2 linked regions of the Mus musculus genome follow. The protein of the gene in region 1 purifies or fractionates together with the protein of each later gene. This does not show direct contact. Links are inferred from orthologs where the notes say so. Each region holds a gene or a part of one and is shown in the gene's direction. Other genes may lie near its edges.

Region 1 (3,825 bases):
AGAATGGAGACATAACTCAAAGAAAATGGGTAGCTTCGGCAAAAATTAGCAAAGATGGCCACTTTTTGGCTCAGGTTTTGTTTGGTTTGGTCTGGTCTGTTTGAGACAGGGTCTCTTGTAGCCAAGCCTTGCCTGAAACTCCACGATTACCTTGAACGCCGGATCCTCCATTCTTTCTCCACCTTTCACATGTTCGGATTATGGACTCAAATTCTTGCTTTTAAGTGGCTCTGCTTTCTCAAATACGAGGACATATAGCCTAAAGTTAGGTCGAGGGTTTTGGTTTTGGTATCAAGGGAAGATGCTCCCCGTGCTGGAAACAGGTCTTTACAGCTTTAGAGAACAGGCTCAGTGGTGAGAGGCGAGAGGCCGCGAAGGCTCCGAAGGGCGTCAGGAGGTTGTCACCACTTCCTGTCTCGAGGTGGCTCTGCGCTCCGCACTGCAGCTACCGTCCTGTACCTTGAAAGTACGCGCAGCTGGGATTAACCTTCTAGTGACTTTAATTCCATCTTGTTCCTTATCTTAGTTACACAACCTGCGTTTCAAACTTCAGTATACAGAAAACAGAAATGACTCGAGGAGGTCCTTAGCCCCGCAGGACCTTTGGGAAAGTGGAATGTGGAAGCGCGCGTGGCGTCCCCCCAAGCTCTCCAGGGCAGCAGGAGCAGCCCAGGCCCTGACGACTGCCAAAGGGAGCCTGTTGCTAGGGGCGTTGCGAAGGAGGGGCCACAAGGAGGGGCTCCCTTCCGGGAGGAGGGCAATTAATAACCCGGAAGCGATCGCCAGTGCGGCGCTGTTTAAAGATGGCGGCGGAGGAACCTCAGCAGCAGAAGCAGGAGCCACTGGGTAGCGACTCCGAAGGTACGAACGGAGGGAAGGATGTCCTTCCCGGGCTAGCGGGGGCAATCCACGGCCCGCCGTTCCCGAGGAACTCGGGGAGTCAGGGCCCTGGGGAGTAGGCGCAGCGTGCGACCGAGCCCTTCCCCGCGTCTCCTCCCCTCCCCCTCACAATGGAAGCAGGGCCGCGGCGACCCCCGGCCGGGCGGGGCGGCCGGGGCCGGGGCTCGGCCTCTCGCGCACGCCTGGGGCGGGGCCTGGGCCGCCCCGCCTCCGCCGGTCCCGTGGCCTCGGCCGGCTCCCACAGTCAGCCCGCCGGAGACCTAGCAGTCAAGCCGAGGCCTAGGCCGGGGCCGAGCTGCTGAAAGGCGTTGAGGAACGCCGGGCTTCCAAGGACGAAGTCCCTGCTGGGCCGTTCGGGATGCCATTGGCGGCTCTTTGCCTTAGAGCTTGTGCTGGCCTTACAGCACCTTTGAGCGGATCCAGGCATTGTTTTCCTAGATTCTTGGTCTTTAAAAAAAGACAGAAACCAGTCACACCTTCTCCCTGTCTCCCGAGAACTTGAGCTCTAGGGGTTGAGTAAGTCTGTTGAGTGGGAGGGACAGTCCTGTTGTAGGACATGGTGGGAAGCTCAGCTGAGAACCTAGGATAACCAGGCCCCAAAGGATTGGCTTTAAAAAGCCAGTCATACTCGCACACCCTACTCTAACTCCACACTATATTCTAGAGGTTGAGGACTAGGAAACCCAGATACGCAGAAAGAAATTGTTCTCCATCACATCTAAGAAGGATCCAAGACTAGAAACTCCTACAATAGCTGCTTAGAGTCCTCAGAACGAACGTCCCGAATCCGTGGATGACTCTAGAGAGTGCTTAGGTAGTAGTTGCTGCTGGCAGGATCCCAGCATATTTTGATGATGGGAGCAAGGTGATGGCATTAATCCATTCTAGAGGTGAGGGGAGAGGACTTTGGCAAGTGACATGTCCAAGAGCTCAGACTGGAATTTTACAAATGTGGACTTGACCTTGGACAAGATGGAGTTACCTCTGGTTTTTGTTTTTTGTTTTTTAATTTGGAAAATGAACAATACAGGGGACCACAGAAGGACAAAGGGCGTGTCTCAGTAAAGTGCATGCTTACAGGATGCACTCATTCTTCCTAGGGCTCCACCCCTTCATCCTGCTTTCTCCCAGAGCTCCCTTCCCCAGAGCATTCCCTAGATGCTACACAGTGCTTTTAGAAGGCAGGGAGGAAGGAATATCGGGGCTGCAAGAGAGCTTTGGGGGTGATCTTTACTTGTCATTTTACTTATTTATTTATATTTATATTTACTTATTTCTTGAGGTTGCTAGGGCTTCACACCTGCAGGACAAATATATCTTTACCACTGGGTCTCAAGCCCAGCCCTATTTTTTTTTTCTTCCAAGATAAAGGCTTGCTATATTTCCAGAGCTGATCTCTAACTCCTAGGCTTCTTAATCCTGCTCTGGTCTGTAATTGCTCCCTTGTTTACTTTTATTTTTTTAGAGATTAGCTATATAGACTTGTGGTCTTCCTGCCTCAGCCTCCCAAATGACACCACACTTAGCTACTTTCTCCAAAAGATGAGGAAATGAGAACTCAAAGAAGGAAGAACTTTGCTAAGAATACACAGTGGGGTGTAAGGCATAGGGTTCCAGATTCCAGACCTGTTCTGCCAAAGCTGCCTGCCATAGAGATAGCCAGACCCCATAGGAACCCTTGGTTGGCACTTCTTTTTTCTCCTTTTTCTAGGTGTTAACTGTTTGGCCTATGATGAAGCCATTATGGCTCAGCAGGACCGAATTCAGCAAGAGGTGAGGTGCCGAAGAAAGTTGGGGAGGGAGTAGCTGAGGGCTTTGTGGTGGGGATGCATAGTCAGGGCCTGAGACCTAGTGTCTGTTTTGAAGCCCTCCCCTCTCGAGTCTCTCAAGTCTCTGAGTCTACTTTAGGCACTCTATGCTTTTGTGGGGTTGCTGTGCTGCTGGATGGCCACCACCCCGTTTGTAGGTGTTAGGCGTGGCTTCCTCAGTCTCCTGCCTCCCTGCAGATTGCTGTGCAGAATCCTCTGGTGTCAGAGCGGCTGGAACTCTCAGTCCTGTACAAGGAGTATGCTGAGGATGACAACATCTACCAACAGAAGATCAAGGTGGGATCCTGGCCAGAGGGGCAGGAGGGAGCCTGTTTCAGCCCTGCTTCTTGTCAGGCCTAATGTCTGAGAGGGTCGGGTGTTGGGCGGGGACACACCTCCTATTGCTAGTTCTTGAAGTGTGGCCTCTGGACTGAGACCTCATTCATATCAGATTACCACTCAGCAGCTGTCTTCTTGACAGGTCCTTCAGTGTCTCTGAGCCCTGGGTGTCCTCATCTGTAAAATAGGGACAGTGAAAGCATCTGCCTGTAGGGTGGCTGTAAGGTTGAGGTAGGTGATGCTCAGGTGGGACCAGGTGCAGGCTGGGCGGGCACTGACAACTCAGTAGCCTGCCAGGGGCCAAACTTGCTGGTGTTGGGATGGGTAGATTGGTCACAGAGACCTGTCCTGTAGTCTGTCTACTTTGATCTTTGCGGAGAACAGGCTTCTTCTGTGTGTCTCTGCTGCATCACTCAAACTGAGGCAAGCTTCTTTCCCAGTAAGCCCAAAAGCTGGGAGCAGCGGAGCTTGAACTGTGACCCTGGGATGAAACAGTATTTAGTAGGCAGCCTGAAGAGTTAAGAAATGGTGTACTTCAGTCTTCCTCCAAAGATCATAGGTGTTCATGTCCTCTGCTCGCAAGTGGGGCCTTCAGGTGGTCACACAGGTAACCCCTTACAGCAGCAGCCCAAGAGTGAAGCTGCCTGAGAGGTGAACTGTGAGCAGCGTAGCTCACAAATAGCCAGGCATGGGAGTGAGTGTCCGTAGTTATTCCCCTGTTGCCAGAGAAGCCAGAAGTCATGAGCTTTCCTGACTCTGCGCAGTTGGCAGATAATGA
Region 2 (3,903 bases), on another chromosome or scaffold:
TTATAGTTTCGAGTATTTTTTTTTTCTTTTTTTTACCAAAGCTCTTCTATTTGGAGGAAAAATAGTATGTTGGCTCACTTCTTTTCATTTTCCTTTCTCTTGAGCATTGGCTCATGTCTTATGGCTCCGCCATTCTAGTTTCTTCTGTGAACTCCTCCTCCCAGGACCCCTGGCCCTGAACACTCTTGAGAGAGGAATGCACAAATTCCTTCGAGGTTCCATCACTGGAACATGGTCTCAGGAGCGGCAAACAGGAAGTTTCTGGACTTCTGTCTATTTTGTGCTTGGGGCAAAACTGGACTCCACTTGGAAGATTCCGCAAAAAGCAAGGCAGGAGTAAACCAGCAACCTTCCTGATTCCTATCTAAAACTTTTAATGAGGACAGTGTCATATAGAGTCAGTCCCTCCATGGCTTCTCTATCCAGAAGTGGTCTCTCTCTCTCTCTCTCTCTCTCTCTCTCTCTCTCTCTCTCTCTCTCTCTCTCTCTCTCTCTCTCTCTCTCTCTCGCAAAGCAGAGCCCGCCGCCAGACACATCGGGTTATTGCCCCTAAACTTCCTCACTCCACTTTTTACATCTTGAGCGGGACATTTAAAACACAGTTTGGGATTTTGTAAGTTTCCAAAGCGTCCAGAGGGCAGTCCCCTTTTGGCAGCGCCATTGCAGGACGGGAGCCAGAGATTAGCCGAGGTAGGTCCCCTGGTCTCAAAATCCTATTCACCTCGCTCAGAAGCCCAGGACTCTACCTTGCTACTTCCTTCAGCTCAGAGGGGCCAGAAGCAGCTTTCCTTTGCCTGCGTGCCTGGCCTCCTCAATAACACCATTCATCGCCTGCCTCTCGGGGCACCGGGGAAGCCCCAGTCACGCGCCAGGGTTCTCGCTCAGGTACGGGATTCCCGGGGTAACCGCCGGCCCCTAACCTCAGGGGCGGGTAGTCCACTGGGCAGCGTCGGCCCGGAGGCGGGCTCAGGCCGGAAGCCACCCGCGGCCCCGCGAGACCGCGCCCCCGCCCCCGCCTCCTCGTCCTCCTCTTCCAGTACGAGCTCGGCGGCCAAGGGCGCAGGGGCCAGCCCGCCGGTCCCCGCCGCGCTCTTTGTCCCGGCCGCGCGCGGGCGGACGCGTGCGCATCTGCCCCCCCGCCCCCCAGCTCCCCAACCTCCGCCACCCCCCGCCCGCCACCCCCCACCCGGCGGAAAAAAAAAAAAAAAGAAGGCGCAGCGGGAGCGCGCTCGCGCGGGGGCGCGCGGGAGCCGCTCGCGCCCCCTCCGCCAGGCAAGCAGCGAGCACGCGCGCCGCCGCGCCCGCCCCTCCCCCGCCCGCCCGCTCGCTCGGAACTTGCTGACTGCGCGACCGGGAGGAGCCGAGCCGAGCCGAGCCGAGCGCAGCGGCGGGAGGCTGAGCGCGCGGGGGGCTCCCGCGTCCCTGCGCCTTCGCCTTCGGCCGGCAGAGCGCCCACCCCACCGTGGCTCCCGGAGCGCGGGGCGGCGCCACCCTCCGGCCGCAGCGCGGCACTGCACGGCCGCCTGCGACTTTCGATGTTCCACACTCCCGGGCCGGAGCCTCGGCGGCGGCTTCTTTTCCCGCCCCCCCGGTGCCCCCCCCAGGCTGCCTCCATTTCCTCAAGGAAGGTTCCTCGGCGCTCTCCCTCCCCCACAGCGTAGCGGCGCACGAGCGGGCCGGGCGGGCGGCCGAGGTAAGGCGGCGGGGCCGGGGCCCGCGTGGGGGGCGGCGGGGGCGGGGGCGGCAGCTTTGTTCGCGCCGGGCGCCGCGCTCCTCAGTCCGCCGCGCTAGTCAGTCAGCGGCGCGGGGCGGCGGGTCCCGCATCCCCCGGCGGGCGGGCGCAGTGGCGCGGTCCCCTGCGCGGCCCTCCCCACAAAGGACCGCGGAGCTGCGTGGCCCAGTGCTCGCCCCGGGGCGGGCCGCGCCAATTTGTTGCACTTCTGGGGGTGGGGGGTGGGGGAGGGCTTTTGTTTGTTTGTTTGTTTTGCCCTCGGGGTTTTGGCCGCTTTGCGGATTTTTTTTTTTTTTTTTAAAATAACAAAATGTCGGTCGGTGAGGGAGGAATTGAGCGGGGAACGTCGATGGCACCGGGAGCTTTGCAGAAGGTGCAGTTTGGAGCCTGCCCTTCCCCGGGTGGCAGCTCGGGCTCGGCCCGGTGAATCCTCGCCGCCGGCCGTGGGGACGGCTGTGGGGCGGCTGCCAGTTGATTTTTTTTTTTTTTTTAAATTCGAGTGCTGTGTTCAAAGGCTTTCGGTGCGCACGGGAGGACCCCGTCACCGTAAATAAGCATATGGGCGACTAACGGGGTATGTTTTTCCTCTGGGAAGGAGGATTTGATCGCTCAGACCGGTGTCAGCCTGTAAATATTTAGACGGTATTAGTGACTTCTGAACATTCTCGGCGAGATCTGTTATTTACAGTTGTCATATGTTATTAATGCCCGTTGCCCAAGTTCCCTGGCAAATCTGTTTCATGCCTTCTGAGAAAGTAGACAATTGATAGATTGTCCAAGGGATGGGAAAAAAATGTGAGTGGGTTTTCCAACTTGCATTTTGGTAAATCCCTCAACGCCTGCATTATAAATTATGATACGTATCAGATTCCCTGTAACGTGCTGCACCCTAAGTACAGGGACTTTCGAATCCTTTTCAATAAAATACTCTCAAAGGTGCTTATTGAGAAGTGCATGCTGCTATTTTTTTTTAAAGATCTAATGTTTCTCCATGGGTCTCTTCTCTCCTTAGAAGTTTTCCCAGAGATAAGTTCACCAAGATGTCCAGTGACAGGCAAAGGTCGGATGATGAGAGCCCTAGCACCAGCAGTGGCAGTTCAGATGCAGATCAGCGAGACCCTGCCGCTCCAGAGCCCGAGGAACAGGAAGAAAGAAAACCTTCTGCCACCCAGCAGAAGAAAAACACCAAACTCTCTAGCAAAACGACTGCTAAGTTATCCACTAGTGCTAAAAGGTAATGTCTACAAGGGGAGGACTCACACGGTCAGGTCCCCTTCCCATTGGTGGCTTTTGCTGGCTTAACTTCAGTGGCAATAGTTCAGAAATAGTTCTCCATCAAACGTATGTGAACTTGAGTGGGCTGTCATTCTGTGTGTGGTATAGCCACGCAGTTTCCCTGCAACTATCGACTCTAAAGCCAGCAGACTTTGTTCTGTGCTGTGGTGACTCGAGGATGGCCTCAAGAAGAGCTGGGCACTCATTCTGACAGATGAAGGGCTTGGCAAGGGAAATCTGGTGAGTCCCAGTGAAATGGCTTGTAGGAGAGGTTTCCTTCTGTGAGTCATGTGTGAGTGAAGTTGACAGTTCTAGAGATCAGCAGAGCTTCTCTCCAGAAAACGGAATTGTCAGAAATAACAATATTTACCAGAAAATTGGTAAACTCCAGGCTTGGCTCTAGTGGGAAGCAGTTCTTAATGTGTGCTTTAAATTGGCTTACAATCTGTAAGAAGAGGACTTTAAATCATGTGGCACAGGTGTGACTGAGTGAGTTACTGCTATCCCACCTCCTCGTGAGGGCAGATACAACTCGGAAGTAGCTGTTACAGTTTAGGTGTCACCCAGTGACTGAAAACACCCTCGGCCTTCCTCTGCGTAGCTCCAGCATTGTGGATGAGCTTGGCAGGTTAACAACAGGGGGAACATTTCTGAGTCCAAGTGAGAGATCAGTTCTTCTCTGTTGACTTCTATTTTCTGTGGTGACTGAACAGATCCTGTCAATGGGGCTCCAAGTGGTAGCAGTGTTGGGATACCTAGAGAAACTAGTGATTAAGGTGAAATGTGCCTGCCTTACCCAGGACAGGTGTTTCATTGGTTTTTATTGGACATAAATGGAGGAAGAAAAATGTAAAGACTGATCATATGTTACATTTTTATTGTGATTCAAACTTTTT

Evidence for each region.
Region 2: the proteins of Otub1 (region 1) and Ube2e3 purify together in Homo sapiens (affinity purification with mass spectrometry; 3 studies listed by BioGRID and IntAct, counting the BioPlex papers as one, with this or other methods). This does not show direct contact. The link is inferred for Mus musculus from reciprocal best matches to the Homo sapiens genes OTUB1 and UBE2E3.

The regions. Positions count from the first base shown.
Region 1 is NC_000085.6:7,203,238-7,207,062, reverse strand, and holds the start of Otub1 (ubiquitin thioesterase OTUB1), read left to right. Parts: upstream 1-778; 5' UTR 779-803; coding exon 804-861; intron 862-2,611; coding exon 2,612-2,673; intron 2,674-2,906; coding exon 2,907-3,005; intron 3,006-3,825. UniProt on the Homo sapiens protein: Hydrolase that can specifically remove 'Lys-48'-linked conjugated ubiquitin from proteins and plays an important regulatory role at the level of protein turnover by preventing degradation.
Region 2 is NC_000068.7:78,867,713-78,871,615, forward strand, and holds the start of Ube2e3 (ubiquitin-conjugating enzyme E2 E3), read left to right. Parts: upstream 1-1,334; 5' UTR 1,335-1,693; intron 1,694-1,965; exon of another isoform or gene 1,966-2,306; intron 2,307-2,744; 5' UTR 2,745-2,772; coding exon 2,773-2,966; intron 2,967-3,903. UniProt on the Homo sapiens protein: Accepts ubiquitin from the E1 complex and catalyzes its covalent attachment to other proteins. In vitro catalyzes 'Lys-11'- and 'Lys-48'-, as well as 'Lys-63'-linked polyubiquitination.